3 linked regions of the Pelodiscus sinensis genome follow. The main gene of each other region encodes a partner of the protein of the gene in region 3 in a complex. Links are inferred from orthologs where the notes say so. Each region holds a gene or a part of one and is shown on either strand. Other genes may lie near its edges.

The links.
Region 1: TIMM21 (region 3) and SURF1 share a complex: the UniProt entries of both Homo sapiens proteins name them as parts of the MITRAC (mitochondrial translation regulation assembly intermediate of cytochrome c oxidase complex) complex. The link is inferred for Pelodiscus sinensis from reciprocal best matches to the Homo sapiens genes TIMM21 and SURF1.
Region 2: TIMM21 (region 3) and CMC1 share a complex: the UniProt entries of both Homo sapiens proteins name them as parts of the MITRAC (mitochondrial translation regulation assembly intermediate of cytochrome c oxidase complex) complex. The link is inferred for Pelodiscus sinensis from reciprocal best matches to the Homo sapiens genes TIMM21 and CMC1.

What each region holds. Positions count from the first base shown.
Region 1 is NC_134732.1:16,715,850-16,719,598, forward strand, and holds the start of SURF1 (surfeit locus protein 1), read right to left. Parts: upstream 2,330-3,749; 5' UTR 2,237-2,329; coding exon 2,183-2,236; intron 1-2,182. Other genes in the region: SURF2 (surfeit locus protein 2), read left to right, coding at 2,401-2,478. UniProt on the Homo sapiens protein: Component of the MITRAC (mitochondrial translation regulation assembly intermediate of cytochrome c oxidase complex) complex, that regulates cytochrome c oxidase assembly.
Region 2 is NC_134712.1:186,372,273-186,376,021, forward strand, and holds the start of CMC1 (COX assembly mitochondrial protein homolog), read right to left. Parts: upstream 2,914-3,749; 5' UTR 2,874-2,913; coding exon 2,780-2,873; intron 1-2,779. UniProt on the Homo sapiens protein: Component of the MITRAC (mitochondrial translation regulation assembly intermediate of cytochrome c oxidase complex) complex, that regulates cytochrome c oxidase assembly.
Region 3 is NC_134712.1:95,704,304-95,708,052, reverse strand, and holds the start of TIMM21 (mitochondrial import inner membrane translocase subunit Tim21), read right to left. Parts: upstream 2,738-3,749; 5' UTR 2,447-2,737; coding exon 2,149-2,446; intron 1-2,148. UniProt on the Homo sapiens protein: Participates in the translocation of transit peptide-containing proteins across the mitochondrial inner membrane.

The sequences.
Region 1 (3,749 bases), on a different chromosome or scaffold from region 3:
GCCCTGCCCCTGCTTGACATTCTGGAAAGCCAGCTGCAGGGCCACCTGGGAGTTTCTGAATGCTGACAGTCTGGAGGGAGGGGAGCCAGGCTTCTCATGCTGCCCCTACCCCAATAGCACCCATTGGCTGGTTTCAGACAATAGCAGCTGCCTGCTTGCAGGACAGGCAGCATGTGAAGTGACCCTCCTCCCTCATCCCCCCATACATCATTCCATTCAGACCAGTAAACATGGCTTCTGCAGCTCCCCTGAGAATATACAGGGGTTGGAAAGCAGGGCCCCTGGCTAAGAAAACTGCTGGGCTGCTGGCTGGGAGCCAGGTAAGGTCTCCCAACCAGAGCCTGTCTCTGGCTCCCCAGCCTCTCTCTCCCTACCCCATGTAACTCAAACCTTCTGTACTCCTGCCAAAGCCCCTATACACCTTCCAGACACTGCATCCCCCTCCTACTACCTCCTCAGGTCACAACCCCCTCTCAGACCTTGCACCCCAATCTGCTGCTCCCAGCACAACTCAAATCCCTGCACCCTGTCTTGCACTACTCCCCTGGTCACAACCACCTCCTAAGCCCAGCACGTTCTCCTCCTACATCCCTCCCCGGGACCAGAATTCTCTCCTGCATCCATACTCAACCCAGACCCTGCACACCATTCCCCTGTCCCAGGTCACAACCCAAATTTCTGCACCCCTACCCCAGGTTATACTCCCCTCCCAAACCCTGCACCTCCACCTCAACCCAGTCCTTTGCCCCAGGTCACAATCCCCTTTTCCCCCAAACTCCCTCACAGGTCTCACACCCCAATCCCTTACCCTACAACCACTTCTGCAACCAACCTCCATACCAGACCCCCGCACCTCCTCCATTAATATAATGGTAGAGTGTGGTCCTTGATCACTTACAAAATTTTTTGGAGTTGCCCCCCCATCAAAAATTATTGTCCTTACCTGGTTTAACTGGTTAACCAATTAAAGGGGCTTGCGTGGGCTGGAGTGCCTCATTCCATGACAGGACCCATGAGGCTGGAGTGGGCCCCTGCCTGCGGTAGGCAGGGAGCTGTTCCAACCCCCAACGGGTAACCCTTAACTGGATGATGCTTAGCCATTAACCTTTCACATTGCTAAATATAAATGTCATCAGAGTTCTGGTATTTCATAACTTTGGATCTTCATTAAATCAAATGGCATATTACCACTTAACAGCCACGGCCAGATTCAAATAACTTGTCTCCTACCAGCAATACCATGTTGATTAATAACACACTGACAGCTGTCAGTCTTTATTGGTCAAATTTTAGAACTAGCTTCATTTAGATCTGGATGCTGCTGATCAATCCCTGACAAGAGGTCCCATTTCTCTCTGGCCTTCTGTCATCTCACAAGCTCAACATCGAGTTTACAAAAATAAAACACAAAACCTTCCAGAAGTGATGGCATTGACTGCAGATGCAAGCAGAGCAACTAGGACGTGTTCAGCACTGGCCTAGGCTCACAGGAAGTCAGAAACATTAACTAAACACTTAGGAAACACACTGTGTGGTCGATAACCCTGCAGTAATAAACACTTAGAATTTAATGAATCCTTCGAAGATTTTGGAACGGATTAGAATGCTGCGCGACTTTTCAGTGACTAGACAGATGGAGAGTCGTTGACAGCCGCCATTGTACACGTTCCCGTTTGCCAGCATCTGACGAACTGGTTTTACCCACAAAAGCTTGTGCCCAAATAAATCAGTTAGTATCTAATGAGCCACAGGGCTCCTGGTTATTTTGACCTTCCCTTTTGTGATGAATGATCCTCTCCCCTCCCCCGTGCATTGTGTTTCAATGGGACATTTTAACCCGCTGGACACAGGCCACGTGTCTTGCACAATGAAACACTCCCCCCTTGAGCCCACTAGGACAAGGGCGGGGGAGTTTTTGGGGGTCGGGGGCCGCTGACCCACAGAAAAGTCAGTCGGGGGAGGAGGGGGACGCACACTCCGTGACGTGGCCCCCGGCTGAGGAGAGACATTCCCCTCACACGCCCGAGGCTGGGCGGGCCCAGGCTGGTCGATGTGACGCGCTCAGGCCGGGGGGGGGGGGGCAAAGGGGCTGGGCCCGTCTCCCCCCAGCCTGCAGCGGGAGCGAAGGGCGGGCAGCCGGGCACAGCCCCCCTGAAACCCCGCCGCAACCCCGCGGCTTCACCTGGCAGCTGAGCCTGGGCGGCAGCCGCAGCAACAACCGGCTCCACCCGGCCATGGCGGTGGTGGGGGGGGGGGGTCCCCTCAGCGAGTTGCCCCGGGGTAGCACGCGCCCGCTTCCTCTTCCGGCTCCCACCGGAAGTGGGAGGGTGTCCGTCCGCCCGCTCTTCTCTATGGTTCCGGTTCCAGGCTCCGGACTTCCGGCTGGCTCCCTGCGTTGCCATGTGCGAGGTGCCCGAGGAGGTTCAGCGCTTCCTGCAGCAGCACCCGGTGCTGCGCCTCGTCGAGCCGGGCAACAAGGCAAGCGGGAGGGGAGGGGCGAGAGGCCCCGGAGGGGGCGGGGGGTCCAAGCCGGAGGAAGTATGAGCCTGGGGGAGGGTTCCCCGCTAGATCCCGCCCGCGGTGCACAGGGAAGGGGTCCGCTGCCTCCTCCCTCCCCTGCTGTGTGTGGGCTCGATGCAAGTCAAGGCGATTTAAGTCAGTGCTTCACCTCCATTTCCCACTGCTGCCACCTCACCCATTTATTCAAACAGGGGTGCGAATCTGATCACTAAACCATGTTAATTGACAGCTCAGGGCAGCATTTTACAACATCCAAGAGGGTTACACCTCGTGTATTTTTTTAATTTTTTTTTTTAGGAAATGGTACATTTGGCTACGTCTAGACTGGCATGATTGTCCGGAAATGCTTTTAAGGGAAAAGTTTTCCGTTAAAAGCATTTTCGGAACCGAGCGTCTAGATTGGCACGGACGCTTTTCCGCAAAAGCACGTTTTGCGGAAAAGCGTCCATGGCCAATCTAGACGCGCTTTTGCGCAAAAAAGCCCCCGATCGCCATTTTTGCGGAAAACAAATCTCAGCTGTCTACATTGGCCCTTTTGCGCAACAGTTTTGCGCAAAAGGGACTTTCGCCCCAACGGGAGCAGCATAGTATTTCTGCAAAAAGCACTGATTTCTTACAGTAGGAAGTCAGTGCTTTTGCGGAAATTCAAGTGGCCAATGTAGACAGCTGGCAAGTTTTTCCGGAAAAGCGGCTGATTTTCCGGGAAAAAACGGCAAGTCTAGACACAGCCATTATGTGTGCCGTGCAGCAGCAGTACTTTAGGAATAGTAAAAACTAAATTACACACACAAACACAATAGTACTTATATTTTATTCAACTAAATCTGAAATGTTCCATGAATGTTTCACATTTGCAATCGCAGCAATCTTCTGAGTTGTTGGCTGTCCTTACACTTTTTTTTAATTTTCAAATTTTATTAACTCAGACAGACAAGTCATCAGAACACTAACTCTACAGTATCCTTAAAACTTCTACAACTAGCTCTCTTCCCCAATACCACTGTCATTTTTATGCAGCTCTGATGCCAAGTTACCAAAAAAGCTAAGATTGGCTGTTTAGAGTGCACTTAATTTTGGAGTATGCCCCATTGAAAACAAGTGTAGGATGGGGTTCCTTTTGGAAAGCTGACTTCTGATGAAGTAAAATGGCACCACCATTATGGTCTGTGGCTATAATGTTCCAAAATGAGGGGTATATATAAAAAAACAAAATGACAGTGGCAACTGGT
Region 2 (3,749 bases), about 91 Mb from region 3:
AAACAAAAAAATCAAGGCGGCTGACAGTAAGTTGACATATATATGTATTATAGTTAGAGCTCTGGATAGCCGGTTCACAACCGCAAATGCGGATATCCATGGACCATTTTCACAGATAATGGCACCAATACTTGCACAGGGGTCTCTTCCAACTGTACCCGGCTGTCCAGCTAAGGCAGGATGCCAGCGTAGGCCCCCTGCTGCCAGCAAGGAGAGAGTGCCAACTGGTTCCCAAATTTCCCTGCACAAGAAGCTGAGTACCAGCCTTGCCCCCACACCCAATCAACAGTGACCTGTGGCGAACCAGGGGCCCACTTGCCCCACACTGCTGTTCCGTACTGTCATCTAGTGCAGCTGGGAGCATGCATGGGGGAGGTGGCTCACTTCTGGGAGAGGAGGAAGACTCTCAGCATAACAGCAAGCTGCCCTGTTCAGAGAGGGGAGGGTCCAGCTCTGTGGGGCTGGAGCTATGGGGGGAAGCGGGTGCAGTGCCCTAGGCTCGGCCAATTGCAGGGCAGCACGGCCCACCCTCTGCCATGGAGACTGGGGCGGGCGACGGCCCAACTCTGTACCCCTCTGCCCTGCTGTGATCTCACAGAAGCTGCTGCTACCAGGTACCATTGCTGATGAACACCCCCCACCCCAGCAGCAAAAGCACACAATGCAAATCCATTCCCACCTCTACCTGAGACCCTCATCCTGCCCTTATGCTGCTCCTTACTCAGAGTCCTTGTTCCCATGCTGCCTCCCTCTTCCCTGCAAGACCCTGTCCCCTCCTCACTCATTTGTGCTTCCTCCCACCTACCCTCTAAAGACAGCTTGCTGCTGCCACCCTGCAGATGTGTATGAAGATAAAATCCAGCTTGCGGATCAGATAACAGAATGAGCCTGGCGGAGGCGGATCCACATATATGTATCTGTGCAGGACTCTAAATACCAGTTTAAATGGTCAAAACACACTTAGTTGTGTATTCCTGCTCTTCGCATATTGCTATATAGGTGATCCTGAGATGTAAAAGGGTGAGAACTCTGGGGTTATAGTATGTTCATCTGTGAAGAATCTTTTTAAACTGCATTGCATACTACTTCACTCTCTGTCCAGGTACTTATATAATTTATTTATTTGATATCTTATTTCCCAGAGGAGTTCCAGAACATTCCATCAAACACTTCTCTGTCCTTTGGCCAGGGTATAAACAAGACACAGAAAGGCTGTTATCCAATTTTCCATCTTGAAAGTGGACTGTTCCTAAAATTTCTTTTCTGTGCCGAATCTCTATTCTACTTAACAGAAACGAAATAAAAATGAAAAGCCATTAAAAAGGCTATTTGTTGAATTATCTCTTGCACCACTCTTCTTTTTCCTTTCCATTTTGAATTATCCTTTAACTATTTCTCCAGTTCTATTCCTGACTCTCTACTCTTTAACTTCTAACTCTTAGCTTCCTTGTCTTTTCCTGCCTTTACACTGAAATGTCTTTCCTTTCCTCCACTATCTTTTTAATGTGTCATGACTCTACACCATTCACATAGTAGAATAGTGCAGCTGGCCCTCAAATTTTGTAAGTGTATAATGAGAAACTGAGTCCCTAAAAAGACTTTTTAACTGAACATAATACTGAAGTGCAGCATAGCCATCAAGAAAGGCAAGAGCCTTCCCTGAAAAAATTCTAAGTACGTAACTTCATACATTAGGGCTACGTCTACACTGGCCCCTTTTCCGAAAGGGGCATGCTAATTTTAAACTTCGTAATAGGGAAATCTGCAGGGGATTTAAATATCCCCCGCGGGATTTAAATAAAGATATCCGCCGCTTTTTTCCAGCTTGTAGAAAAGCCGGAAAAGAGCATCTAGACTGGCCCGATCCTCCGGAATAAAGCCCTATTCTGGAGGATCTCTTATTCCTACTTCAAAGGCTCCTAGAGCTTTTCTCCTCTTCAGAGGGGCTCCCGTACATCCACGGGCTCTGTTGGGCAAGCTGGACTTGGTTTTCTTTTTAATGGGTGAAAATAGTATGTAGTGATATTGGTAGCCCACCATCACCTCACTTCTTGTGGCACTAAAATGAGACATGACTCATGGAAACATTGTACAGACATGCGATTATTCCTCTCCTTACATGCAAAATTAAATAGTTAACTATGTTGACATTTAAGTACCACACTAGGATCTGAGTAAACACACTGAAATGAATGGGGCAGTTCACACTTCTCAGCTATTGCTCCAGTCTCTTTTCAAACTGACACAGATATCTCTATTCTAGCTGCACCTAGTTAACATTTTGATGTTTTTTTCTCAACATAACAAACAGCAACTACATGCTTGCCTACACTGTCCCCCAATTAGGACTAGTGGGGAGTGAATAGCAGTGTAGATCAAAGTGTTGTGCTGTAACTTCCCCATGTGATCAAAACTAGAGTTCCTAGTTTACATTAGCACAGTCCTCTTCAAACTGAACCATATTAATGCAAAGCAGTTCACACTCGTAGGGTCTACACAGGGGAGTTCTGTGGCAGCATTTCAACCTGCTGCTATTAACACTTTTATAGTAATCCAAACTGCAGAGCAATCAGACAAAGCCTGAGTTTCATTTTAAAAAATGAAAACCGATACACTACAGGTTGTACCTCCCTTAGCCAGGACTTTCAGATCCAGCAACATCCGTGGTCTGGCAGGACTACAGATGTTCCTGGACCACAGATTCCAGGAGTAAGGAGGTCTGGCCACGAGCCAGTAACATGGGGGGAGGGGGGAAGTGAAGCAGGAGAGAGAGACTCACCCAGAAGTCTTGTGGGGGGGTAGTCTGTGAAGCTCCAGCCCCAGCCATGTAGCTCCAGCCCCAACTGCAGCCAAGAAGTTCGCACCACAGCCATGCAGCTCCGGCCCTGGCAGAAGCTGGGAGAATGGGAGCTGGAGAGCTCTAGCTCAGGGAGTGAGGGTTTGTCAGGGAGCAATGGGGAAAGCAGCAGGGGAAGGGGAACAGCAGTTTAGCATGGACCATTAGGGGAGGGACCACCCCTGGTCCGGGACCAGTCAGATCCCAAGGATGACAGACCAGAGAGGTCCAACCTGTAGAAAACAAAATACAGCCGGTCCCTGAGTTACAAATGCATCGACTTACGACCATTTGTATTTACGATCAGCCTCCTATACAGCCGATATCTGAGTTACGAACGAAAGCTGCACTTATGAACAGCGCGGCCATACGTAAGTGAATGTAATCCGACTTACGAACAGATCGAGTTATGACCAAGTGCTTGGTACGTAACTCGTTCATAAGTTGTGGCAGTTTCAGAGAGGAACATTGCGTGACAGATTAACCCAAGGGTTGCCTCATACTGCATAACAATTTCCCAAATGCATCCTGGGAAGTTCAAAAGTATGTTCATTGCCATCCAATCAGTGTAACTGCAGAATAAAAACAGATAAAATGCAGTTTTTTATTACTGATGAATGCAAAGAACAAGCAATGTTAAGCACTGTTAGATTAATAAATAAGCTTTACACTGCATAGCCTGCAACGAAGCCTCCCTGGCAGCAGGATTGCCAGTCCCTGCCAGTTCCACTCCCAGGGAGGCGGCTTCTCTGCCACAGAAAAGCAGCTGGCCCCACTCCCAGGGAGTCAGCGTGTAACCTGCAGTGGGGAACGGGGTGCCATCAACAGAGATTTCTCCAGGAAGCTGGAGCAGCCCCTGCCCATGGTGAGCCCCGAGGGGCTGGAGCAGCTCCCTGCACCCGGTAAGCATTAC
Region 3 (3,749 bases):
ATCCAGTTAATTGTTACATTCAAAACGGATAGGTTACATGAGAAATTTTGTCTATAGCGTCTCCAAATTATGCATATTTATATTTGTAAGATGATTTTCATTAAATAGTGAAGGGGGGGGGGGGAACAACCACACTTGTTGGCCTCAACATTAGGTCAGAGAAATAGAATTATATGGTTCAGCACGTTCCTATTAGATTGAAAATTAATCAAATAATTATGAAAGACGAAGATGGTTCTTGGAGAGTAATACAGCTGAGATGGCTGAAAAGTGGGATCTCCACTATGGACTATACCAAAGCCTCTTACATTGCTTCTTCCTTCCCTTTTGAAACAATTTGGGTTGTCTCCCCTTCTATTGGTGATCAAATGGCAACATTGGTCATTGGTGGCAACTACCCTGATTACATACATGGAAAAACACTACCAGAAAAACATTCACTATTTTTTGTAACTGTATTAGCTACAAAGGAGGTGCCAGTACCATGTGATCAGCCATCTCTCTGCAGGCAACTAGCAAATGGACCAATGTCTGGAAATCACTTTCTTAATTCACTAAACTAAGCCAGTTTTAATCTTCAGGAAATGACATGGATGTAGAATTTATATCAGGGACATGAAAATGTGTTTATTCAGGTAAATATGTAAGCAGTGAAAAAAATCAGTAATTACATGTTTACAGGTTGAGGAAAGGGGGCAGAGGCAAGCGGGAGCTAGCACTTGCAGAGCCAGCTAACTCCCCCTGAGCACCGGGTCCCACCTGCTTTCCCCCCTGCTGCCTCTTACACAGAGGCAACAGTGAGGGGATGGGGGAATAGGAGGCTCTGCGGGAGCTGGTATGCACGAACACCAGCTCCTGCCTCACCTGCCCTCCGCTATAGCCGCTGATACAGAGGCAACAGTGGGAGAGGGGTGGCCTGCATGTAATTGTGAAGATTAACTGATGAGCCCAGGCTCAACCGTTAACCAGGTATATGTTTACACTTTCACATCCCTAATGTACAGGGTTTAAATCACCTCTACATTCCTTTCTGGTTTTTTCATATTAATCAATGGATGCTGTGCAATCTAAGATCACTGTGGCCAAGTGGAAGAAATCCTTAGAGGTGAGTTGCAATCTCCACATTAAAGAGGGACTGATGAAACTGATATCAAATATTAATCTAATACATAGATTTGGAAATTATTAGGTACAAAGCCACTCTTCCTCACCTAAAGACTGCTTTTTTGTTACAATGGTAATAAGAAAATGTGATGTGTGTTTGGAGGAAGAAAATTATTTTAGAAGAGTTAACATTTGAATTTGTATCAGCCTTTAACCCAAATATTGCTGATTAGGTTTATTTTTTTTTCCTATTTTTTCTCCAAGGCTGGAGTGGTGCTAAAAGCTGACTGCAGGCAGGCAGAAGGCAAGAGAATAGGAATGTAGTGTTAAACTTCTGCATGCAAGGGGATCCAACCATAACTGGGGAGACAGATGGAGAGCACTGTGTGTTACTTATGTGGACCCTACAAAACATATTAGGCCTGTTCCAATTAGCCTACCTATAAGAAGCCTGCCACTTACCTATTGGCTACATCTAGAGTTTTCCGTTAAAAGCATTTGCGGAAAAGAGCGTCTAGATTGGCATGGACGCTTTTCCGCAAAAGCACTTTTTGCGGAAAAGCGTCCATGCCAATCTAGACGCGGTTTTGCAAAAGAAAGCCCCAATCGCCATTTTTGCCATCGGGGCTTTTTTGCACAAAACAGTTTTTAGTTGTCTACACGGGCCCTCTTGCGCAACTACATTTGTGCAAGAGGGCTTTTTCCCGAACAGGAGCAGCATAGTATTTGCGGAAGAACACTGACAATATTACATTAGATTGTCAGTGTTCTTCCGCAAATTCAAGCGGCCAGTGTAGACAGCTGCTTTTGCGGAAAAACTTGCCAGTCTAGACACAGCCTGTGAGTGTGTAATACACACATACCAGTTAAAAGTCAACTCTGTATAAAGTTATGCTAAAAAATGCAATGTATAAACCAGGGGATGAGTTGCAGCTGTGGGAATCAGTTTTATATTCCTCAGTTGTAGGGCTGTAGATGGTCACTGCTATTTAAAACCAATGCAAGTTGCTAATTAATATTGGCCATAGCTTCACTTTCACTTACCTTTCTGAGCAGCCGACACGGGTGCGCCTCCTTTGTGACTTCTTTGCACAGACACTTGTTTGCTGTTATTCCCAGCTCTGAGGGATCCTTCCTGGGTCCAGATATTTTGTTTTGCACCTTGGAAAAGCATACGAGGACGCAACACAGATTCTATGTGGGAAAATTCCTGCCCCCACATAAAACACCGCCAAGTCCTTAGAAACACTTTCCCATGGAGGGCAAGCAACCACTTTCCTGTCGAGCCTTGTAACTTCTCGCTGCATTTAATAACTCGTGTAAACGAAGGAGAAAACATCATGAGGCAAAACAAGTCTTAGTATGTTACCAACAAACAAAGATCTATGTAGATTAGTTGAACTAAACCCTCCCTTGATTATTGCAGGAAAGATCTTAACTTAATGTAATCTGCACCTAAGCAACGCATACATAGTGTGTGCAATGAAGGTGCTGTCCCTTTAGTGAAACAGAATTGGAGCAATCTCTCAATTTGAATTTGCTTTTACCTTGTTGATTTACTTTAATCGAGAAACCTACATTACCCTGTGCTCGCTGACATTTTCAACTTCCTCCATCACGTTTGCAAAGTTCCCTGGAAAAAAAATGCCATGAGGTCCTGGGAATTGTAGTTCACAGAAATTCGCCTCCCATCTATATTTAATAGTAGCTGAAAGGAAAAATGACTACAACTACCACAATGCAAAGCGCCAGCTCCTGCCTGTGAGATTAAATTGCACCGACACAAACCTACAGTAATTTCAATCTCCTGGTTCTAGAACAGATACCACGTAACAAAAGTAGTAAGGGAGGCTGGATGCTTTTGACTTCCTTTAACTCTCAGCGCTTGTGAATGAAAAAGAGCATATGTTTTGGAGTGTTTTCTTCTCTTTTCGTTTTTTGAAGGTTTCCAATTGTCATTTTAGGAAAACATTATGACCTTGCAATAATGCGAACTGCCTATTGTTTTGCAAATATAGTGGTAAAAGAAGCATTTCTTCCTTTTTCAAGGTGAATAAATCCTGCAAAGATTTAGGGACACCTTTAGTCCCATGGTCTTTGCAGGATGAGGTTCTAAAATGGTCGTTTTTCATCATGGAAACGGATGGATGTAAAATCTATTTTAACAGGGCCTGATTCAGCAACTGAGTGAACATAAAAGTAACTCTGCCCCCCTGGTCAAATTCTATGTATTTATTATGTTTTCCTCCCAATAATTCCTTTGTGGTCAGCATGTGCATACAGCTCCTATATAATCATATAAATATTTATTAATTAAACTCAGCTAGTAAATAATTCCATGAAGCCACTACCCAAAAACACCTGTAAAGATTTTACTCAAACTTTCTAGGACAATTCACACTTAAAAGAAATATGTTTGAGGAAGTTGTGAGCACTGAAAAGGCAGAAGCTATAATTACAGTTGGAATTCAATCATAAGAGACTCTACTGCTTTTAGCATGGAAGCTACAATAATGATAATAAGAATAACAGAATTGTACTTTATGACATCTTTAAGAATCTGTGATAGCCCACTATAGACAGAGTAGCAGACATTTATGTCCTAACCCAGCGGTTCCAAATCTTTTTTATACTGAGGACCAGCA